Oryzias latipes: one gene and its partner. The protein of the gene in region 2 purifies or fractionates together with the protein of the main gene of each other region. This does not show direct contact. Links are inferred from orthologs where the notes say so. Each region holds a gene or a part of one and is shown on either strand. Other genes may lie near its edges. The genes, in order: mafk and bach2.

The links.
Region 1: the proteins of bach2 (region 2) and mafk purify together in Homo sapiens (co-immunoprecipitation; 3 studies listed by BioGRID and IntAct, with this or other methods). This does not show direct contact. The link is inferred for Oryzias latipes from reciprocal best matches to the Homo sapiens genes BACH2 and MAFK.

Annotation. Positions count from the first base shown.
Region 1 is NC_019866.2:7,331,100-7,344,508, forward strand, and holds the end of mafk (transcription factor MafK), read right to left. Parts: 5' UTR 13,189-13,409; coding exon 13,178-13,188; intron 6,631-13,177; coding exon 6,552-6,630; intron 6,475-6,551; coding exon 6,037-6,474; 3' UTR 3,515-6,036; downstream 1-3,514. Other genes in the region: tmem184a (transmembrane protein 184A), read left to right, coding at 1,708-1,940. UniProt on the Homo sapiens protein: Since they lack a putative transactivation domain, the small Mafs behave as transcriptional repressors when they dimerize among themselves.
Region 2 is NC_019882.2:20,479,121-20,491,030, forward strand, and holds part of bach2 (transcription regulator protein BACH2), read right to left. Parts: intron 8,781-11,910; coding exon 8,526-8,780; intron 1-8,525. UniProt on the Homo sapiens protein: Transcriptional regulator that acts as a repressor or activator. Binds to Maf recognition elements (MARE). Plays an important role in coordinating transcription activation and repression by MAFK.

The DNA of each region.
Region 1 (13,409 bases), on a different chromosome or scaffold from region 2:
GATCTCTGAATAAGCTGGCATTGCAATAAAACTGAGATCTTCCCAGATAAAGAGGGATTTTAGCAGGAAGTTTGGAGATATTTTTCAAAAAAGAAAACCAGAATGGAGTGGGCTGGATGGGCCCTCAGCTAAAAGTACCGGACAAGAACCAGCTGGTGGAGGGTCAGACAGATTGAGACTTAAAACTCCAACATTTGGTTTACCTCAGAAAGAAAGAGTGTGAAATTATTGGATAGAAGCAGAGATCACAAAGGAGAATAGGGCATTTAAAAAAAAAAAGCAGATCTCAAATGATTTGGCAAATGTTATAAAGACGCTGTGTAAGAAAAGCTTTTTTTTTATCTATAGTGAGAGGAAAGTTTCTTTTCTAACCAAAATCCCTTCCTCCTCTTGAGGGAAGCAGCTCGCCTCCTGCTAAACTAATGTTTCAAATAAACCAGTTGTGCAGGTTTCTTAGAGGCATCATAAGACTTTAAGTGTAATAGAAGCCTTTAACCTCATTTCCTTAGTTTGCTAGGAATTTTTCAGAAATCCCATAAAGGGTTATAACTTGCCTTTTTGTTCTTTTGTTCTGCTACTTTAGCTGACATAAGAAATGCCCACATTTCTACAGTTTCTGTTGAAATGACTTCATAAGAGCTACAATGTGCAAAACATAGCCAAAGCTGAAGGACATGCATGATATGAAAGGCCCAGGCAGCAGGTGCTTTTAACGTTTGGAGGAGAAGGAAAGAAAAGGATTCAAGGTCATGGTGTCCTAAAAAAAAAAGCACCAAGGATGTGTCCCAGCTTTGGCAACCTTGCTGCTTGCAAAGAAAATGTAGATGGGATAGGAGGTGAAATAAACTTTTAGCTTATGTAATACAGAGTAATCAAATGAAAATGCTGGAAATTTAAATTTCCTTTTTTTATATGAGTGAAAAGGGAAAATTTGTATTTAGTTTTAAGTCCAACTTTGATGAGAGTTGTTTTTTTTTTTTCATTTTTAACAGGCTTTTGTGTCATCTGATGATGTAGTAAAAGATTTAAGATCGAAATAGCATTGCTGAGTATTTCTTCAGTCAAACTGTTGCGAATCAAGAAAAATGTGTTTAGAAAAAGAGCTCATTTGTGACTTAAAACTACGCTGGGCGAGCAACAAGTTCTCTGCTCCGCTCCATTCTGACTCATCAGGAGAGCACATGAACAGAGGGATATCAGAAATGCTGGCGGTCCTTCCCACAACTTATTGTGGGAACAAACTATGTGCTAGTAAAATAACTTTTTATTTTTATTTTATTATTTTGGCTAAAAATTGTCTAATTATAATTATAAGACCACTGGGAATGCTTTTAAAATGGGTCAAAAGATGATTGACTTGTTAAAATCCCCTGAGCTGACCTGCTTTTAGCTTATTAAAAAAACTCACCAATGAATTCAGCTATTATACTTTGACAAAACTTTGCAAAAGTTATTTTGTCTGTCATCATGTCATGAAACTGGCAAGCTCCCAGAGCAAAAAAAAGCAAATGGCTCTTTTTTCACTCAGATGATTCTGCACTGAAATGAGCTTTGAAACCGGGCATTTATCACCTTCATGCTCCTTTTTCTTTATTTGCATTCTGATGCTCAACCGGATGTCTTTTGTTCTGGGATTAAAGCTGAAACATCCGTGCAGCGCATCTGTGTGCAGCCATCAAAGTGCCTCTTTCCCTCTCGTTCCTGCAGAGGGCGGCCCCCCGATGCAAAGCATCTCCAGCGGCCTGAAGGAGACCATCAACCCCGGAGACATGGTTCAGGATGCCATCCACAACTTCTCACCAGCCTATCAGCAGTACACCCAGCAATCCACGCAGGACGTCACCCAGCAGCACGGCGTGAACGGGAAAGTCCCCACAGACCTGAAGGGCTCCTGCAAGTCCGACAAAATCATGCTGATTACATCTGATGATGAGCTCTAGGCGATTTTCCAACAACATCCAAGTGTCTGTGCCCTTCCCGCTCTTATCTTTGACCCCCCCATCCCCAATCTGAGGAAACGGCTGTGGCACATATCTCACAGAGCTGGATTGAACCCAGGTGTTTAATTTTCATCATCCGAGTATTTAAGGTGGACTGCCCGGTTCTGTCCTGCTTCAAAGGTAATTTAAGAACCAAGAGAAGGATGGAGTTTTAACAGATTCAGAAACGATGACTGGATCGTCAGAGATCTGATCCGTGCCCGTCTTGCAGTGATAATCAGGAAAATGACATGTCCCCTTCACTTCATCAAACCGGTCTGGAGCTTTGGCGTTTCCTTTAAATCAAGCTGTCGGATGCACAGCTGCATCCTTCTTTCCGGTCCTGCCACCGTCTCGATGGCGCTGCCTCTCAGTGGCCGTCCGGCGTGTTCCCACTGAATCACGTCGGCTTCAAAGAGCCTCTGATTAATATGCAACACCAAGATAGATGCAGGGAAGCCAGCGACGACTGGAACGTTTCTCGCCATTCCTTTTGTCTGGTATTAACTGAGCTCTTCTCTGCACGGATTCCTGACAGACAGATATTAGATTTGGAGCAGGTAATTCAAACTGCAAGAGATACTCCACTATCATTTGTTTCTGCCGCTGCAAGGACAAATTGGATAAACCTTTCTCATCCAGAGCGGAAGCTTGAATATGAATTTTCCCAGCATGTTGAACAGCCTGACCCGATGCAGTTGAAATGGCTGTTGGAAAGATGCTAGTGATTAGAATTTGACAGCTTTTGCACTGTTTTGACTGCAGCTGCTGATGCTGTCAACCACATGTCAACACTGATCAAGGGAGTGCAAAATTTGATTAGTGCCAGTCGTGCCGTTTTACTCCTGTAAATAATATTTTGGCTTATCGAGTGTTTCAATCTTGTTGTATTTATTTCTTTAGCTCCAGAGGCACTAAATTTGAAGTGTGTATTGATAAGTCAATCAACCCTTTTAAAGAGGAAGTTCATGTCTGTGGTTAAATTTTTCTACCCTCTTTTGCCAATTTTAGCTGTGTTTTGACAGAATGCGTATTGGTTGGTTTCTATGCAAAATAAAACTCAGATTTGTGTCTGCAAGTGTGAGAAAACGGAGCATTTTTGGGAGGAACATAAAGGAGCTTTATTTGAGCGTAGAAAAAAAAAAGACACAACCGTCGACAGTAATAATTTACCGTACTTTTAAATGAGAGCAAAAACAATTTGTACATGAAGATATTTCATTGAGAAAACATGGAAGTAAATGAATGCAAAAAAAATAATTTAGTTTTTTTTTTCTTCATAAAATTAAACAATTCCATTAAATAAATACAAAATAGAAATGAGAAGAAGAGTTATGTGAAGGCGTAAAAGGGTACATGCTCTTCTTTTCTGCTCTTCGAAGGCCACCTGCATGTTACACTGATCGTAGATTTCTATCACATCTATTAAGGTTGCATTGAATTTGCCTCTTCACGTCTAACACAATCCTTTCTGCAATATTGAAACTCTGTGGTTTCATAGCTTGCTGGACTTTCAAAGCTTATTGAGTGTAAACTTTATTTTTTTTTGGGAACAAAAACTTTATAAACTTCACAATATGCCAGGGAGCATTTCTTCATGTTTATTAGTATTTCTGTGGTTTCTGATCAAATTAAAGAAAGTCCACTTAAGCTCCTCGCATATAAAAGCTTTATTATCTGTAAAGATTAAAAAAAGTCGTCTGCAGTTTAGTAAACAGAAAATGTTCATGTGTTATTCCTGTTTTTATACGATTCAAAAAGTCGGCGTAAAAGACAACATGTTTGGTGGCACTTAACCAAAATCACCCAGAGAAAGGTTTGTCTTTAATTTGGCACAGCAGAATCGTTTAACATTTACCGGTAAGCATTTTATCCAGCTAAGTGCTTACACTCATTCTACATTGTTGCTATTTCGATGTTAACCACAAGAGGTCACGGTTACGCTTTGAAAAGGCTGTCAAGTTGCCCAGAAAGAAAAGAAAAACACTTAAATGAACCCATAAATAGATGTCATTTTCCTCAGGATTAAAAACAGACCTTCACATTAGGAGGGCATGTGGAGCTGCGTTGAAACATTTTTTCAGGTAACAAGTGCTGAAGCATTACCGTCATCTTTGACACTGTCAAAAAAAGTTTTTCAGGTACACTTTCACAAGATAATGAACTAGGTTTACATTAGAAGCACAATGGAGGCCGTTTGCAGCTGAAATCCATTTTAAATGCTCTTGTCAAAATATACCAAATACCATTTCAATACTTGCAGGGAACCAATGTTGTGAGAATCTTTTTTTTTCCTTGAAAAGTTGAAACAAAACAGGCTGATTACATAATCACACCACTCCATGGATAGTACAAGACTTAAATATAGAAAAATATGTCATATACATTTATATATATATATATATATATTTCATATACTGTGTATGCATACTGTATAAAACTATCAGAAATAGTAACAAAAACCAGGTGAAAATTAAAAGGGGAAAAAAAATAGGAGTAAAAACACAGCAATGCCCCCCTGCTAACGAGAAAAAACAAAATCACAGCAGGTTGTACAGCAGCAAAGTTCCCCAAACTGTTCTTTACAGCAGAGGAACAATGAAAGAACAGTCATGTCCTCCTAACCAAGAGAAGATCCCGACATGAACAATCTCTGTTTACTTCGCTCCAAATTGGGAATGGATCGTTTGGAAGAACAGCTTGATTTCAAGTTTGTATCACACTTAAATATTACAAGTCAGTTACTGCGATTGTTTGTTTTTTTGTTTTGTTTTTTGTGACACCTCGTTTTCTAGAGATAAGTGTCAGGAGTTCTCTTGTAGAAGAGTGAGTCAAAAGCAAGCGGGTGGTGAATTCCCAACCCCGGCGACAGCGGCGCTTCCCGTGACCCGGCAGACGGAATGATCTCTGTTTGGACGGAGTTGAGCAACAGAAAAAGGGAAGCCAAGGGAGAAGCGTCGTCATTTTTAAATCTGTAATATACAGGAAGTACGTTGAACCGGAACACGCTCAAAAAGACTGCTCTTCGTATCACCACATCCAATATGGATGACCCGCCACACCTCTCCAAGTAAGTGCTGCAACATACGTGTCAGTTGACCATCCAGAATTACATTCAACTCGACCTACAGTTAAGGGTCAGACCACAACTTATCATCAGAATCAACCACCTCCATATGACTTTATACTGTAACTTTACAGTTCTAAGTGCTACTAACCACAAACTCCAAAAAGATTTGGGAGGAGCTGCAGAGCCACTCTCCTGTTTTACATGGACCCCCCTTGCAATTATGTTCAAAAGCATTAAATGCAACAGTTGATGAACTGATTTCCAGCTAACGCTGTTCATTCTGCAGGTTCAAAGAAAATGAGGCGCAAAATCCCAAAATTGAGAAGTGAAATCCTTTGAAGCTTTTCACACTCAGTGGTTCATTTGGATTAGATTAGAGCATCAGCAGCATAGAGCTCTGTCATTCTGAGGCTTTCCTAAAGACTAAAACCATTTGCCAAGAACTTTTTCTTTCCAAATGCAGCATCGGAGGCACCAACGCGAGTCGATAAGGCAACAAATCCAGCTGAACCACACTGTTCTGGCCTCTGTGACAAACAGATGCCTCGAAACTAGACATTAAACTGTATTAAGATGCACTTAAAGTGTAGACAAATTGCAGATCTATTCAAGACAGCATCTTATAAGGCTTAATTCATACATAAATGTAATTTGGTGAGTTCTTGATTACACATTCTGCTTTGGGGTCTAGGTTCTGGGCCAGGCGCTGCCCCGTAAGGCTTGTTGGACCCTTCACACTGAAGTAAAAGTCACGGAGATTGGGTCAGCGAGGCTCCATATCCTGCCAGTGCCGGGGAATTGAAGGGGCGTGATAATGCACAGATCTTATTTGAGAAGGTGAACTGTTTGCAGCATAATGTCAGACAAAGCTCCACCCACCACCCCAAGTTTGGGGAAACTACCAGGCCTCTTCTCAGAACTAGCTGAGTGGGTTCAAGTCAGAACCCAGAAGATCCAGGCAGAGGCAGCAGGAGCCCGATCTTGTGACTAGGACGGAGCGTAGAATGGGGTTGGACTGGCGTTGTTGTGGTTGGTGGACTTGACGATGGTGATGACGCTGGTGGTGGCCACCTTCCCCGGTGACATTGGCCCCCGGGTCACAGTTCTGGCGAAACACTGCAGGGCCTCGTACTTGGCCCGCAGCGCGTCCAGCTCCAGCCTCATGCTGGCATTCTCGCGGGCCAGCTTTTCCACCTCCTGCTGGAGCTCTATCTTCTGCCTCTCCAGTTCCTCCTTCTGGGTGACGCGTTTGATGCGACAGCTGGCGGCGTAGCCACGGTTCTTGAGGGTCCGCCGCCGCTGCTTCAACCGCACAACGTCCTCCTTCGTCAGCCCACGCAGATGCTGGTTGAGCTCGCGCACAGACATGGCCACCAGCTCATCGTCGCTGAGCACGGGGGCATTCTCGCCCGCCTCCTTTTTCACCTGCCAAAAGGTCAAAAGGGAAATGGATGAAAGCCAGTCGCATGTGGTGTGATCAGCCTGCCATGTGTCACTCTCACCTTTAAAGCTTTGCTCGTCTTAAAATGAGTCGTCATTCCCTGCATGCAGAAAGCTGACCAGAACCTCGCAGAAGATGCACTGAAAAGTAAAAAGAAGTTATTGAATGGAATCCTAGTATGATGTTGAGGTTTAAAAATCTGGTTGCAGTCAATAAAAGCCTTAAATGTAATGGTGATGTAACATTACTGCAGATAATTTTCTACTTTTATTTTCAAATTAAGAGCTGGATTAAAGAATTTACATCCATCTGGATTTTAAAACAAGAGATACTTAAACAAGCTTTGGAGCTAGTGGCTTAACTTGTGAAAAACACAATCTTCGTTTTTCTCAATCAGTGAACCCAAGCGGCCACATCGCCTCCACATATGTGACATGATACTAATGGCATGTTTCTTTTCTGGTTATTCTGGAACTTGCTGATGCATTTTCTAAAAACTGCTGCTAAATGACAGGTTCAGTTTCCATTATATAGATTTTTTTTTATTTTGCTCTGATCTCACTTTGACAGTTGGCTGTTTTTAGATCAACTGGTCCAACCATTTTTGTCGAGCTAGGTAATTATACGCCTTTGGCAAGAAGAATTTTTTTTTTACTTGGCTGCATACGGTATTTTAAAATACTTTTCTGTTTACTTCCATTTTTTTTCTCCAAAAAAGAAGTATATCTTCCAAAAATGTGTCTGATTTCTTTTTGGTGGATCCGTTTTCTTGCATCAGTTCCACAATTTGATCTAATCTTTTGATTAAAGTAAATAACATATTGGAGATCCAGGCCAAAAAGTACAAAATACAGAGATTTTTTTGGGCCTGGGACTAAAAACTTAATGAATCCCCTTTTGAAATCCTTTACTTTAAAAAATACACCAATTAAGGCCTTGCTGTTTTAAGTTTGATACTTGTATATCTGAAAAGTTGCAGCATCAGAATCAACATAAGTGCTGGAACTTCCATTAACGGTGGAACAGCTTGTCAAGCTCGCATCCTGTTCCCTTTGTGGATATTTGAGGAGTTTTTTTTTTTTTTTTTACTAATGCATTCCCTCACATCAGTGTAGCTGACAAAAAACAAAGCTCAGCCCATCTTTGATGAAGAGAAGCCTGAAAAGCACACAGAGGATAATTATCAACAACACTGAACACTTCCCAAGGCAGCGAGCAGGACACCTGCTTAACCACATGTGCACACTTTCATCCAAACAAAGGTGCTGGTGTGCGTCATGTAAAATGCACAATGAGAAGCTGGAGAAACTATTTACAGGGGTTTGAGTTTTGATGACAGCTACATGAAGGAATTTGGGGCTAGAATAAAACTTTATATAAAAGGATGTAAAGTAATACAAAGTTACATGTTGAGATTTTAGCTCATTCTCATCTTTCAACCAAAAATAACTAAAAAGTGGGGGCTTCATTCATTTTTTTTTTTTAAATCAAGCAGTTTGCATTATTCTAAATTGCAAAAAAGAAGTTGATATATTTTCTAGTTGGGTGTTTGGTGATTGGGTCATATTTTGTCCAAATTAACCAACTGGAAAAAGAAGGATTTGAACAATTAGGTTTGTCTCTTTCCACAGAATCGTGGTTCACTTGTAAAAACTGATAAAAACTACTAAATACCAACTTAATAAATTAACAAAAATAATCTGAAATCAATTTTAAATGGATGATTTGAATAGTTGTACTACTAACAGGAAAAAACTGATTTTATGAGCCTTTTTGTACAAAACTTACAAAAAAGATTTGATTGTGTCTTTGAATAAGAAATATTATTTTAATGCATGTTTCTATTTAATCATTTTAATTTGGAGTACAGGTACTTTGTTTTAGTCAACCATTTTTGTTATACATTTGAAAACTATAATAAAACATTTTAAATTATAAAAAATAAAATTACTACTATTATTAAGTGATAAAACAATCAGATGTAATCTTTGTCTCAAAGTTGATTAAAATCTATCTAAAATCTAATATAGTGTTGCATCAATTAAACCTAGCAACTGCATTTCCAAAAATGGCAGCTTTGCACAAACATTTTGGTACCTGAGGAGATGTTGTACCACTAAAGAATTTGAGTCAAATGCTTAAAAAGCATGGCAGTAAAATACTAAAACATCATAAATGAGCCTTCCAGAGTTGGCTGATCCCAACTGCCAGCAGATGGCAGCATGGCACCATCACAATGCCCCTCCAAGGAGAGCTTTTGTTTACCCACCAGAGGGAGGAAGTTCTTGCCAGTCAAGTGCAACAGACCAAGCAAAATTACAAACAGGCAACTTCTATCTAGCTCCTTGTGTAACTGTGTTTAAATTCCTTCCTGGGCATTTTTTTTTAATTCCTCTCAGCCTTCATTACAGTGAGGGACATGCCTCCCAAGTTGACCAAAAAAAAAGTGAGAGTGCTGAGCTGTGATCCTTTGGGAGAGGCGAACATCCCTCCAGGGCTCAATTTGAGGACCTGCAGACCAGCCTGACTGCAACTGCACTCTTCCATGCTCCACAGCTACCATGGCAACGCCCTGCAAAATGGGCGTGGGAGCATGAGTCACATGGTCACTCAAAGAGTAAACAAGTCTCATTTATGACCGCAACATGGCCACATGCATAATGGAAAAAATGAAAAAATAATAAAATGAGCTGACGGCTTTAAGTCGTTACATAGAAACTGAAATTTGACTGTCTTGATCTGATGCTTCTGACTCCCGCAAAACACCAGGAGAACTGAACAGGGCCGCCCTTCCACCTGTGGAAAATTCCAGGAGATGGAGTGTCACACAAATACTTTCCTTTATCGTCAGTGAAGTATTTTCTGCAGTGAGACAATGTAGTCCGTCGGTTCAGGGCTGCCCCTCTATGCTCAGATCTTCTTACAGTGGGCTTTCCTGAGCTGCTGCATGCCCTTATTTAACTCTACTAACTGCTGGATATATTTAGCTCACAGTGTTGACTCAAAATTCTGCCAACTAAACAATTCAGGCGAGTACGCGATAAGTGATAGCTCAGTATGAGGGCAGACATTCTCTGTAGGGCTGCTTCCAGCAGCTTTGATGGAAGAAAGCTGTCCTGGTATGGCTCTCTGCTGTGTGATGTTTGTCATACTTTCAGGTTTTTGGCTATAAATAGAAGCAAAGCTAAATTAGGAGAAGGTAAACCTTGTTTCGCTGTAACATGGAAACTCCTCAGTGTCATTTAAAGGGAAAAAGAATTATATCAAAAAGTAGAAAACAAAAAACTGACACCAAGAGTCTCCTCTTATATTTTCTGAGATGATCAAGAAAATATGGGATGGGGCCTCCCTTCTTCATGCAGAGGGCCTCAAGCCAGATTCAAGAGGTCTGGTTGTTTCCCTGTAATTCTTCAGGCATGTGCCCATGTTTGATCCTAACCTGTGCAAGCACAAGACTTTTATGATCGAGAAATGAAAGTTTCTCAAAAGAAAAGCAGCTCCATGACTGCTGTTCTGCTACAGAGTCAAGAAAACAGCTCAGATCAGAGTTTTTTTTCTTCTTTTTTTTTTTGACAGTAAGAAAAGGAGTCTGGGAAAATACCTCAAAGAAAAGCCACAGATGGCGGGTAAAGAACAAAAGCACATTCCTGAGTGAGCGCACATGTGCAAGCCCTCACACACGCATGCAAAAAGAGAGGGGGAGCGTGCTTTTCGAAATATGTCCTACACAGCAATGGAGGGGGGGGGGGGGGGGGCTACACCCCCCTACTTGTAAAACACTGCTTGCAAAATTTACAAAATGTCTAGAATTCACTAGCGTCTCGCATCCTCTGCCTGCCTCAACAAATCGAGAGCGACCTGGGATTTCAGTGCGTGTTACTCAGAAGGCAAGTTCAACAGTCCAAAGCACAAAGTTTACAATTGCCGTTTCACTTGTTTAAGGTAAATATCGGATGACTTTTACAAGTGAATCGTCAGTGCAAGCTTCAGAGCAAAACGGGAGACGATATATGATTTAAAAAAAATAAACAGTTTCTATGAAAAACTTACAATCGAGAAAACATCAGAGTTATTGTAAATCCCTGACAAAGTTGTCTCAACTGAAAATATTTTTTTAAATTTTTTTGTATTTTTGTAACATGTTTACAAAACATGACAATAGATTCACCTTTTTGCCTATTCAGAGTTGGGTTGCAGCCTAAGCAGAGATGTCCAGACTTTACAAATTTCCTCAATTTTTGTTGAGGGAACCCCAAGGGATCCTCAAGCTAGCCGAGAAACAAAGTCCTCCCGCATGTCCTGGATGGGACACGCCCGTGAAACCTACCATGAGAGACAACCTGAAAGAGATGCCCGAGCCCTCATCAGCTGGCTCCTCTTGATGTGGAGGAGCAGCAGGTCTCCTCCAACCTCCTCTTAATCCATCTAAGGGAGAGCCCAGCCCCCCTGCGGAGGCAACTCATTTTGTCCGCTCGTATCTTTTCCTTTTGTCATGACCGAAAGCTTATGACCACGAGTGAAAGTAGGAATTTAGACTCGGTTCCTAATCCAGTACAACAGATCGATACAGCGACCACATTGAACAAATGCTGCACCTCTCTGCCTGTCAATCTCACACTCCATCCTTCTCTCATTTGTAACCAAGATACTCAAACTCCTCCACACGGACACCTTTACCTGCTTATCCACGGAAGACAAACCACCTTTTTGCAACTGAGAACCACAACATCCACCTTGGAGATGCTAATACTCATACTGGCAGCCTCACACTTTACTCCAAGCCGCCCCAGTCCACACTGGAGGTTGGATGAAGTAAACTGAATAACATCATCTGCAAAATAAAAATAAAAAAGCAGAGATGAAATCATGTGGTCTTCAAACTGGACTGTCTCTGGCCCCTGACTGTTCCTAGAACCATGACTAAGGACATGTCCAACATGAAAATAGGTTCCACATAATACTGGCATTACAAACCAAACTCCTGCTTTAGTTGTACAGTGACCAGACTTCTTTGTGAGCTCCAGACCCAGATTTTCAGATCTCCTTCTACAGAACATAGCAAAGAAAAAGATTGAACACTGTCTTAAACTCCACAAAGCATGTGTGGATTGGATGGGCGAACTCAGATGAACCCTCAAGCACCCTGTGCAAAGTTCCTCTTTTTGAACAGAGGGACCATCACCGCACTCTGCCAGTCCAGACGCACTGTTCCCACCACTGTGGGTAGCTGCACAGGAATGTCACCAAATAACACATCCCAACTTCCAGACTTCCAACCTCTGCTTCCTTAAGGGAAGGTGTGTCAGTGCGATTCAGTACATCCTAAAATTTATCCTTACTCCTTTCAAGAACGTGTTCAGTTGGATTCAACAGCTCAGCTCCTTCACTGTAGACTGCGTTGGCAGATACATTTCCGTGTCAAATGTAAATCTATGACCAAAACACCAGAAAGCCGTGTGTAAAATGGGTTTTAATGTAATGAAAATCACACAATTATCTTTAAAACAGTGAATTTAAAGACCGATATTTTACTTTGATTTTAGTGTTCATATGGGATTTTCAGCTGTTAGAATTGTTGGTGTGTCGGGGGGGGGGGGTTATTTTCTAATCTTTTAACAACTTTTTCTCATTTTGGTTGATGATAAATGCGATGCTTGTATTTTAAGTCAGCTTCACATTTGGCTGCGTTTCCACCTGGGTGAAGGTTTTTGTTCTGCATTTACTTTCAGTTGCATTTCTGCCGAACATGCAAGGATCTGGTGGAGTGACTCTCCAGTTGCAGTGAGTAACTCCGGGGCCCTGCCTTCTCCCAAAAATAAACAGCATATCAAAGAGCTGTGTGTTCATGCATCAGCGATAAATGCAAAGCTGACTTGTATTCACTACAGAGTTGCTGCTTTCTGCAATCTGAGTGTGCTTTTTTCCAAGCAGATGGATTTTTTTTTCTGCCCTGGCTGAAGATGTGCCACCCTCTACTCTTCCTCCAGCGCAGCACATTTGGTGGGATATTATATGAGGGAAATGGAGTGCATGCTTGAATTGTGAGTCATGCTGTTTACTGGTAAAACCGACGATCAGCAGCAGGGAATCACACCCTCCTGATCTGGTGTTTCCTGGAAAATCCCGCTGTTTCACAGGGAGGAAGGAAAAGTACAGAGAACCTTGGAAGTGGTTCTGGAGCAGCAGCCGGAACTTTGGTGCGGAAAAGGGAGGAGGACTCCAAAGATATTCTCCCAGACGCAAGGATTCAAAGAAATGTCAAGAATGCATGGAGGGGGGGAAAAAATGACATTACAGCTCAGATTTTGCTATAATTGGGGGGGGGGTTGCATAACATTTTGGAGCTATTTGTATTGATGCCAAAATGCACAAATGAGAACAAAATTATTCCAAATCCATCCTCTATGTCTGAGTCCAGGACCAGCAGCTGCTGGAGATCTGATCACTACAGATTTTCTTGCAAAGGCAGTGAAGCCGTCAGATTGGATTGAAGGCAGACCTCTTCACACGCCCATCTTAAAATATATCTATAAGCTTGGCACAGTCAAACCGCAGGTTTCCAAAATCAATAATCAACAGTTGACCCTTTCTTTCCAGTAAAAAGAGCGAAAACCATCACAGAAAATGTGTTCCCTGTGACTCATCTTGTCTGAAACCTCAAACATTTCACTTTCACAACACTCTTACCACAAAAACATTTCACTCTCCGCTCCGTTTGTGTCCACTGAGTGACCAGCGATATAGTCAAAACAGAGCGAATAAATTCAGCTTTCCGTGTTTAGGAAGTGGGAATCCTCTGAAAACCAGTCAGCTGCTGCTACTTCTCCATCCAAAAAAGTCCTCATCACTTTAGTGACTGAAGCACACATTCATCTCATGATAAGAGGCGTGAGCTCTCACTGCCTGAAGGGGGGAACAA
Region 2 (11,910 bases):
ACCACAGACCACTGCCACAGGCCACAGTGTAGCCCAACCAATGGGTCATGTGACCAAAAGCATCAGGTTGTGTCTAAATTCCCTCACTATTAGTGCTTTTGATAGGGCGTTTGCCGTTTTTTTCAGGTTGTCTGAAGGACATGGTGGATTCATAAATAGTCTTTATAAAATGTTCAGATTTATTAGGTTTTTACTTTGAGAAATGGGTGACATCATTTTTGCCGTTTAAAAAACAAAAAAGTCTGAATTATGTTAAAACCCAGGGCACCAGTCCTGGGTTTAAGGGATCAGGTTAAAATGAGGGGATTCCGACTCAGTCTTAGTATGACTATGGATGGGGCATGGTAGTAAGGGACCCAATAAGGGATAGACAAGCTGTCCGCGCACTTGACCCAAGATCCATTGGTTGATACTACGACCATCTGAAGCTGGTTCTTTAGCACTGCAATCTTAAAGGTTCTATATCATGCAAAATCCACTTTTTTGAGCTTTTAAGTATATTATAATGTTCATTAAAAAAACAAAAAACAACCCCAAAGCAGTCTTCTGATCCATTGATGCATTTTTGAGTTTTCCTCTAAAAACTGTCTCTTTCAACAGCAGCCCCCCCCCCCCCCCCAATCCATGAAAACGAGCGGGTTCTCACATTGTGATGTCACAAAGCAAAGAACAGCCCCTTCCAGGAAGAGTCTGTGCTGCCAGCACCGCCTCCAGCTAACACACACACACTCACACACAAACACTTTTCCCTATATGTGCACAATATGCACACACACATCTTTGTAAAAGTTCGGATGTTGTTTGTTTTTGTGGGTGAAACGCAGAAACGCTGTAGAGGTTGACTCTATGATGATGTCATGAAATGGGCGGTACCCACACAGAGCAAAAGCAAAAGAACTGTAAAACACAATAGAAAAATAAATGATGCATTAGTACAATATATAAGGTAAAAATGAAAGGAGAACATGAAGAAAGTGTATTTGTCAGTGACAGCTAAAACTTACACGCTCCTGGTGCTGAGTTTAAGGTAAGGAAAGCTCCCTCCTGACAGTGGATTAAATCAGATAGTGTGCGTCTAATCCTTTGCTAGTGCAGCTTACAGCACAGGCCAGACACTGGGGAGGACATGACTCCATCTTTACATTGCTACAGACGCTGATACATGTTAGGAAATGAAGCAGAATTGATAGAGAATTCTGAGAATTTAGTTTAGTCCTAAAAGCTTGCAGACTAGTTCTTCAAAGAAATGTAAAACTGTAGGGATGAAGATGCTCCCGCTGCCCTGAACCTGAACCTTTGTCTTCAGGTTGGAGGCAAATATCAGCTTTGTCAGATATAGAAGAGGTTTCATGCTTGCTGAGACGTCCTGCTGGTTGGACAGGGGTGCCATCACTACTCCTACAGCAGCTCATAGCTCCTCTCAGTAAAGCATCATCTTGTATCAACCCACCCCCATCTTTGAGTCAAGCAAGCTCTGCTTGTTGTGAAGGTTTGGGCGACGATTTGGTTTAACCCTCTGAAGTCACATTCCAATCAAGCTTTGATCTATTGTCAATTTGTGTCTGATTTCGGCTCAAAACATGACTCAGCGACTCCTTGTTGACGTTGCAGCCTTGTTGGGACATGGTGGCCATCCACCAACCACCCACTAATCCATCCATCTGGACCATCCAGGGTTGCACGGCACTCAAGACTGTTTGAAAATGAATCTTCATTTTTGTCTGGGCCCACTGCAGCCGGTTCTGCTTGTGAGCGTTGTGTAGGGGTGGCTGAATAATAGGTTTAGGTATAACTGCAAGCTTCTGGAGGATCCTTCACCTTGACTCCAAAAACACCAACAGCTTCAAATATGTGCTTGCTGCTTTTTAATTTTATTTTATCAGCTGCTCTCTTAATCTAATGTGTTTGTCTGGCAGAAACCTTCCTTATGCTGTCTTTCTCTCTCCACCAACCAGTGTGTGCTCTGAATCAGCCACATCTCTCAATAGTACAATGACCACACCTACGTTTTTGGAAAATATCCGAAGGTTTTTATGCCTTGTCTAAGGCGTTTAACTGTTTCAGGCTTTTCAGCAGCAGAAATCCTTTTTCTTATCCCTATTACTTGAAAATGTTGGTCTGTTTAATAATGTGGAATATCCTTCTTTAGCTTTTTCTTTAATTGAACTCACCTGACAAACTAATTATCACAGGTGTCTGAGATTGATGTCAAAGATCCAAAGACCCCCGAGACACCAAAATTAAATTAAAAAGCAAACAATTTGATCTTTTTGACACTTACATTTAATTTGCATAACAATTTGTAAGTTACTGTCCTTCATTATGAGAAAAATGCTACAATAACTTTTTAAGAACACCAAAAACCCACCTTTTATACGAGTAAATTTGTAAACAAGAGAGAAAAGTTTGAAAATGTTTGTGTCAGCCTAAGAAACTATAATTAAAAAATAATAAGAAAGTGTGTACTGAGGGGTTCTACAGTCATAAACATCTTTAATCCTACTTCACGAATTTCATCTATCAGGTGTTATTTTTAGAACATAACCCCCCCATGATAAATGAAGGACAGCTGTAGGGGTCTGGTCTCAGTCAATTTCATAATTATGTGCAATACATAGCATGAGTCCACTCATATAACTGACATATGTCAAATCTTCAGTTGAAAAGTCTCTTGAAATGACTGGACCACAAAGATCTCATGTCTTCATTATTCAACAGGGTACCTACCACTGACTGTATATGAGAACTGGACTGAGTGAGTGTGACATCACTCAGAGAATATTAATTTTTTCATTTGGTTGGAATCATGTTTCATTTCATTCAGTGACCTTTTTTTTTTACAATAAAGACATATACACATCACCGTGTGATGTCTGTTTGTTAAGAAATCGTCAGCAAGCACTGATTGCTCTGAGACAACAGTTTTATGGCAACCACTGATGCCAATCAAAAGTAAGCTTGTTAGAAGGCCACACACCTACCACTTAAAAGCGTAGTCGGGTGAATGTGTCAATCCAATGTTTTGAACGTTCAATCTCATTGTAGAGTTACGCTAGCGGCACGTTTCCTAGATTTCGTGAAAAATTCCTTGGAATTTTTTTTTCATTTTCCTATGTTGTAAATTACGCGATTATTAAGAACATGTTAAAAATGTATCAGAGCAATGATTATTCTAACCAATAGAATGAGCCAGCAGGTACTTCCTGTCTGAAACGCCAGGGGGTTGCAATAACTCAGTCCAGTTCTCATATACAGTCAATCGGGCATGTCGCTGAAAGAGAAGATTTTGTCCATACGATGCAGCATAACTGCCTCTCTAGTCACATTAGCTAAAGATGATGTCACCCAGAGGCCCAAGCAACTCCAACAGAGGCTATGAAGGGGCTGATGCTGGGGAGGTGGTCTTTTGTCTCCCCCCCCCCCCCCCCCCCAGTGGCAACCTTGAGGAGTAGCAGTGCTCCAAAGCTGCAGCAGGAATACTTAAAAGCTTCCAGACAACTGACAGTCGGCCAAGTGCAGCTTAAGAACATGAATTGAAGATAAAGGTTGCAGCTCTGAGCTGACACAGAACCCCCCCCCCCCCCCCCCCCCCCCCTCCCCAGCACAGCGACAGAGCTCAGACCAGAGGCAGGGATGCGTCAGCAGACTCGAGTCAGTGACCGTAAAAAGATGGGTGACGGGGGATGTTAAGAAACTAGATGGAGCCGTGAGTAGAGAAACATTATGAGTCTTTGAGTGGATGCAGTCGCTGAGCAGCTAAACAGCCGGGAGGCTGGAGCCTGGATAGCAAATGAGAAGAAAAAACTAAAGATGAACAAAAAGACAAAAACTAGAAGAGACAACACACTAGTCTGAGTTGTATTTTGGATTCTATTATTTTGGATTATTTTGCTAAGCAACAGAAAAGAATCTGCACTAAGCCTGCAGATCCCACTGGTGCTGACATTTTTTCTTTTGTTTGCACAGAACAGAAGCCAGAGCTACCCAAGCACTTTTTCTGAAACCGTTTTTTCAGTCTATGAAAGATATCCTCCTTTTTTCCAAAAACACTTTTATAATTTTTTCTTCAGAAACTGTTGAATGTGAATATTTGTGGCCACATGTGTTGCTTTATTTTGAATGTCACACATCAGGACAGTTGAAGTGTGCCAAGATTTGGAATAAAAACAAAGCCCGATCGACCGCACTTATTCTTTGTTTGTAGTCAAACATGACACTGAAAGATGTAATGACCTTACAAGATAACTAAGGATGAACACACGGGGGTTGACCTGTACAGGGGCTGCAGGTTTTTCGGCTGTTCAGGTCCATGAAGGATCGTAGACAGGTGTGACTGTGTCTTAAAGGGAGCGCAGGTGTGTCTTGCAGTTCCCTTGTGGCTTAAGGGACGTCATCAAAATTCAATTGTCCTGTATGGTAAGTGTATCATGGGGTATTCAAAAGGATAATGTAAGTTTCACACACTTAGGACGTACAGGGGATGCTGTCTTACAGCGTCCCTACACCACATTCTAGTCGTTAGTAAGGCAGGGACTCTGGCTTCTAACTACCGGTAACCGTGCACAAAAGCTGCACACACACAGTGTGCAGGTGATACGCCTGTAGGACACACCTGGGTTGTCCACACAAACTACACTCTGTCTAACTTTTCTAACAGGCAGACTACAAGCATGAGGCGCACACTTATGACTTGATCAGCACTAACGGGCTCCAGTCAAGCACCTATGCCCCCATTAAGGACAACTCTGGGTTAAATAGAAAATACATTTAAGAGTCCAACAAATTTCTCTATGGTACAATTATTCTAGGCAATGAGGACAGTGTATGTTTTTTTTTCTCTTGTTAGGTGGGGCTTTTTCCATCATAATGAATGGGTGAAGGCTTCATTTTTTGCAAGCCATCTAGTGGTTAAACAGTGAAGTGCATGGGCTCTTCCTTTGGTTTCAAACCAGCCTCAAGGAGGAAGTGAAAGTGTTACCAACGTATGCTGTGCAATCCATGAAAATGGTTTGACAACTAATGTATAGAGTCTTCTGTGAGTAAGAAATGTAAATGTATTTGATACTTGGATATCAGTTGATTTCAAACCTCAGCAGAAGTGGCTGTTTGACACATGAAGGAGACAGCCATTCAAAGATGTTACTTTTCACACTCCGTCCCACACCTGAGACACACGGCAGCTCATGAATTATTCACGCTTGCAGCATCTGAATGCTGCAGAAACACCAACCAAGCACCCCCCCCCCACCCACCCCCGACCTTAACAGGAGCTACAACTGATATTGGATGATGACGCCGCCATGCTTTTTAATGAGACAACAAAGCTGTTGAGTTCCAACGTGAATGCAGGCCGGCCCCGATGAGGATCTCCACAGCACATGTGGGATGTGCCCCACTTTCTACCGCAGCACATATCTGCAGCATATGTGTTTGTGACATCAATATGTCAGGAGCCGTAATTACAGCCGTGTGACATGCATTTGCTGTGGCTCCTTTTGAAGCTGCAGCAGTTTAGGCTTCAAGAAAGCAGACGTAGAAAGCACAATCACACAAAAAACAAAAATGACAAAAAAAGTGTTTCCACTGAAGAACTTCTCCAGATGATCAGTGGCAGAGTGAGAGCGGATGTGAGCGCAGCTGAGAAGATCCAGAAGCCGTGTTAATCTCATCACTAAGTGATACGCTGCTGAATGTAGCGGCACCTGACAGGTGCTAATTGGTAACAACAGCATTAAAGGCTCAAGCTTTAACTTTGTCGCACCTTCTTTTGAATCCTGAATCAGCTCTGGACAAATCCAAACCTTCCTTCTACATCTGCTATTTTGATGGAAAGGAAATCACATTAAATGACTGAACTAAAAATAGAAAAAGCCTGAAGTTGTGGTTGCTCTTACACTTGGATACACTGAATGAACAGGGAGTGCTGGATTCAGGATTCAGTTCTGAGTTGTAGTTTGGATTTTATCACTTTCTTTCAGTCCTGACTGATGTATGGTGGCCCTGAAGTCCAAATCAAATCAACAAATTACACAACACAAACATCAATCAAAGATTACAAAGACAATTAAAAAAAGCAAAACAAATAATAATGAAACCTGAATGTATAAAAAAAACACTTCCAAAAACAAAAGTAATGTCTGGAAATTAAAATAAAAGGTTAAAAAATGTAACATAAAAAAGCAAAAAAGGTGTGAATTATGGGACGCCAATGGACGTCAGTGACAGGATGATGACATTGTTTCACCGTTTTGTGGTATGGAAATACTTTCTGATATTTCTTTAAGCAAAAGTTCTGTGATTTATCAATCAACTCCTTGCCGGAGTTTGAGAAAAACATCCTTCTGCTTTCCCTCTTCCAATCAATGACATCCCACAATATCTTCCTTTACTGGCTGCTTATTTTAAGTTTTTGTATTTGTGTTTTAGTTTCTGTAATTTTGTTGTAATAGTTTTGGCTTTTTAATTGTCGTTCTTGTCTTTAATCTGTTTTTGTGTGTAGTGATTTGTTGACGTGATTTGCACCTCAGGACCACAGTACTCACTACTTTGAGATGTAGAACAAAAACCTGAATAAAAATATGAACCAGCCTCCCTGCAGCAACAGTAAGAAGTAAAAAAAATAGTTTTCAAAACCAACTGAAAGATTAAACCCAAGGAGTCAAACAGAAACCAAAAACTAGTAGAAATAAAACAAAGTGACAGGATCAGGCAGAACAAAGTCTGACAACTATCTTAATCAAACACTGACATGAAAAAAAGCATGATTCGGTCCTGAATCTAGTTGGGGCATAAGGAGCTGCACAAATGAACAATGAAGTCAAACAGAAGCTGAGAAAAGGTCAAACAGTGGAGCAAACAAAAACCAGTAAGATTCAATCAGAGGTTCAACTTGTTCCCAGTCAAACCAAACAAAAAGAAAAGAGAAAATTCTCAAAGAAAACCCGTCGTTTCTGCATGTGGCTTAAACACAGAAGACAGATGTATAAAATTATGAGTCTTTTTGTGTCTAAATGATTTATATTTGTCATAAGAGTATTCTGACAACAAAAAGGACCGACAAAGCAGCCCAATTCAAAGAAAACCTTGTAAATTCCTTGCAAACTGCAGAAAACTAAAGACCACTTTAAGGACTGTGAGTTCTGAAAGGGAAGTTCCTGATTTATGGGACTGGACTTTCAGAGCAGTCTCTTATCTCAGGAGGAGCAGCTGCAAAACTGTCAGAGCAAAATGAAGCAGCTCGAGCTCAGATTCAAGAGGATTTTTGGAGTGCGGTCAGCGCCTCTTTTTCATCCAAAGAGTCCAAAGGGAGGAGAGGAAAAGAGTGTTTTTGCTGAACTGGACACAGAGGAAACGGCCAGCCAACAGTAAGTGAATGAAGACATGGGAGGTTTTCCAGTGTTTGGCCCTTTTCAACCAAAGCTACAGTTTACAGAAACATTTCTTTAGATTTTAGTCATAATTTTTTACGACACACCTACATAATGTCATAATTTGATCTATGTATATATATTTACAGGAAGAAACACATTTCCCATGAAAATGATTTAATTTAAATGTAAGAAAATAAAACTGTTGTTTCTTTTCCAAGCTTTCCTCTCATTTTTTTGAGACCATCAGATATTAAGGCTTGAAATAAACAAACAAACAAAGACCAACTTAGATTTAAAGAAAATTAGCCGAAAGTATTTTTTTGAGCTTATCTGTATAATATTATTGCACATGCTGCTGCTTCCTCCAGCTAATTCCAGAAGAACATTTACTGCGGGGTTAAGAAAAAATTCACAACAGCTGGCGGCGTGACCTCTGACCTTTCAGGTGACTCAAAATATAACCCGAAAACAAAGAAGGCAATTTTTGTGGCTGAAGGAAGAAGGGCGGGGAAAATAAAATGTCAGTACTATTTTTAGCAAAAAGTACTACACTTGAAGTTGATTTTATTAAGTATACTTGAGTATCATCAAGTATGCTACAGACTTTGTGTAGGTAGTGTAGGAAGTATACTAACTGAATACTTCTTCAGACTAAATTGTAACATTTTTAAGTTGACAATATATAGATAATTTACTAAAGTAAACTTGAAGTATACTGTGTCAGCTTTAAGATCGACTACGGTTTCACTTAAATAGACTACTTTTTGCTAAAGGGAACTAGCTGTCCTGTGAGTCTGGGGGGTAAGAAGAGTGAATCAAACAAATCCCACTCTCAGAATTCTGTTGATCCAACATGAAAACTTAGCGTTGCTAAGCTACATGCATATATTTGTCCGTGAACGGCATCATGCTCATGGTTAAGCCGTGGAAAGTCTTTCCCCTGGTATACAACAACATTGGGAAAAGGTATTTTTGTACTATTAGTTCATCAGACTGATATGAAATATTTGTGTAGTTGACTGCTAGGGAGGCTGTCACTTTCCAATTTTTTTTCTAAATTGTGGGAAAGATGGAAGGTCTCAGCTTCTCCTGCGATGGCTTGGGGGGAGTTTTAGAGTTATATCAAGCTTGTGGGGGTGTGTCTGACAGGCCTACCTCTTCAGGAAGGCTAACGACCAAACCATTTTCCGCCTGGCCCACCAGCGCCTGGAGGAAGTACTCGCTGCAGGCAGCCAGCACGGCCCGGTGCCCTCGGAACTCCTTGCCCTCCACCACTACGGTCACATCGCACAGGATATCCTGCTTCCGCTGGTCGTTGAGGCAAAGGAGGATATTGGTACAATGAACCGTCGACTCATACACGTACATGGGGGCTTCAGGCTTCTCATCCACGGACATACCGCTCACACCCTAGAAATAGAAACATAACAGAGGAGAGGAGGGGGGTCAGCTTTCAACCGAGCCAAGCGAGCGCATACCGCGGGGCTGACATCAGCGCCATGATTCAACACATACAAGCCTGCTGCTCCACAGGCTTACTCACTCTAAAAGCCAGAGAAGGGCTGAGTTTTTGGAGACAAAATTACAAACATGTTCCCCACGTGTTCAGTAAAGCAGTTTTTTTGCAAACCAACTGCGTATTCGACCTCACACAGTCGTATTTTTACACAGTATGATGGAAAAAAATACAAGACATAAAGTGGTTCATAAACTGTAGATGACTTAAGTAAATATATTAGACTCTTCCTGCAAAATAACATTGACTAGTGACCACAGAGATTTTTCTTTGCTGTCACAACATTACAGTATAAAATTCACACAACCACAAAAATCCCATCAAGCAAAGACAGGCAGCTTTCGGGGGCAACAAACCCAAATCCAGAGGGATTCAGCCAAACGACCCTTACTCAGGTAAAACGAGGATCTGTTACATATGACCAGAAGAGGGCACTGTGGGCAAACACGTCTTAAAAAACCCGTTGTTAGCTACATTAGCCTACAGGTTGAGAGTGCTGCAGAGACAATCTGAACTTTGAGGTTTTATCGATGTCGTAATTTAGGTTTCGAGTTAAACTTTAGGTTCCACAAACTTGATCTGTCTGAAGGAATTTGTGAATTCTGCTGCTGCGGCGCATCAAAGCCTACTGGAACCTAATAATAATAATAATAATAATAATAATTAATAATAACAATTGAAACTTTACTTATCCCACAATGGGGAAATTCTTCTCCGCATGTTGGCCCATCCCCTGGGTGGGGGCTGGCTGGTTGTTGGACAACCTGCTCTACCGACTGAGCTAAACTGCCCCCCCCCCAAGAGTGCCCACCCCCCGCAGAGAAACCTTTTGTTACACTGACAACCAGATGTAATTAGCTACAGGTTTTTCCTGTAAATTCTCAAGCGTCCAACATCAGAGGCTGTTGTGGATCTGCGGCGCAGCACGAGTACGTCACTCTCTGGAGGTTTGCACCTGCAGGATGTCGTCTGACTACTCAGGTACAGGCCAATTCCTCACTCCTGGACCTGGTTTTGATACTGATCCCAATCATATGAGTTGTTTTTTCCTGAGCTGAAGAACACTGAACACGACGGGACTCCTCGCCTCATTCTGACCTGCTGCTGCAAATTACATTTTCCCAGGAAAGTCCCTGTCACAGTTTTCCTTTATTTTTCTTGGAGCAAGTTATCAGACGATCCTAAAGGTCAAATATGATTACACTGAGAAATGTCCTCATTCTATGGAAATGCTTCTAATTAAAGTACCTATACTATAATGGTAATAATGCTAGCACACAGTAGAGTGGCTGCAAAAACTGACACTGAAAATATGAATTTGGTTTTGATTTGGTTCAAATAAAAGGAAAAAGCAAAAGTTCTACATTAACTGTGAGTAGAATGTAGGAACATTACTGCCTTTCATTCCCAGAATTCCCAGCGGATCAGAATGTTAAAGCGGCATGAGGCTGCACAATTAGAGTTCATTGTAGCTTTGGCAACACTCACATTATGTTTGTTTCATTTTATTCCGGTTGTTGCCTCACGGTCAAGTTTTCACCATTTGGCCAGGAAATGACCTGCTGAGGAACACGAGGTAAAAACCCTTCGCATGGTTCTCAAATAAGCTTCTGCACTCTTATGTGAAATATGTGACATAAACAGTTCTCCAGGCTATTTCGGTGTCCCACATCTTTTTTTTTTTTTTACTGATAATCCTCAGTGAGTGGACTGCTGGGAGGGTGGGGGCTTCATGTGACCCTGCATCCACTGCTCCTGCGTGGGAGCTGCCGTGGAGCACCAGTCCAGACTATGGTTCTAGCTGGTCCAGCTGCTGCAGACTTCTTCCCACCGAGCTTTTCTCAGTTGGTTTCCCAGGATAATGACCTGCCTTCCAAGAATAATGTTTCCAGATGCGTGGCTCAGAGCACATTAAACATGCTATTTCTCCACTGGAATGCACAACGCACTGAAACTTGCTTGAGCACAGAAGATGACACAAACGCACTTTTAACACACACGTCCTGACACACCACAACAGCAGCAGGTTGTGGCTGAAAGCTGGTTCAAATTGCTGATGGATGCAGCTCCTTCAGCTTCACCGACACTTTTTATGATGAGTTACATACATTCGTGCGCAATTCACTGGATGAACTTGACCATGCAAAAAATCTGTGTCTTCAACTCTGATCCTGACTACAAAACCAAGTCAAACCTGGGAAGACCAGCTCAAGCCTGGAGTCTTCAGGTCTTAGACGGATGAGACCATTTTTCAAGGCTCTGGTCACAAATCCAGTTCACCAGGTCAAATGAAGTGAGTTTGTTTCCTCAGGTGTTCTGCGTTTCTAGGCAGGTGTGAAAGTTCAGCTGAACTTGGGTGCGGATCAAATCCCAGGGGGCATCGTCTTATGCTACATTCACACTAGGCTTGGAAATGTGTATTTGTCTATATGACCCCTTGTATACACATGCTTCGGGTTTTCGCGTTCAAAACTCTCGTGTTCACACTACTCAAATCCATTTCCAGGGTTTAAGTACATAACGTGCTGCAATTGATCAAAAAATCATAGCCAGTTGAACTTTGACCGATCAAAGACTCGGGTTTAGTAGTGAGGTATGGGTAGCACTCTTTTCAAAACACTGAAGTACCAACAACTTGCATCTTTAAACTCTAAACTCCATCAAAGCATGGAAGAGAACCAAAGTGAGTATACAAGGAAAGCCCTGTGCGGTCTGAGTACAGTGTTCGTACACTGTATTGCTGTTCACCAGGCACATACACACACAGGGCCCTATGGGTACTTGAGCACCTGCCCTTTTGGCCTCGTATTAAAAAGACCATTCTTTTTTTTTTGTAAATAACATGCCGCTTCTGTCTTTGCGGCAGACGCCAGATGGTTCATATTTCAGAAAAATGCTCCATATAAGTCATTTTCCTTTTGCCAGACGTCTGAACACGGCACATTAATTCAACACAGAGCAGATCATGCAGGGACAGGAAGTTGGGTACTAAGTACAAAATAAAACACCGCAGGAATTTTCAAA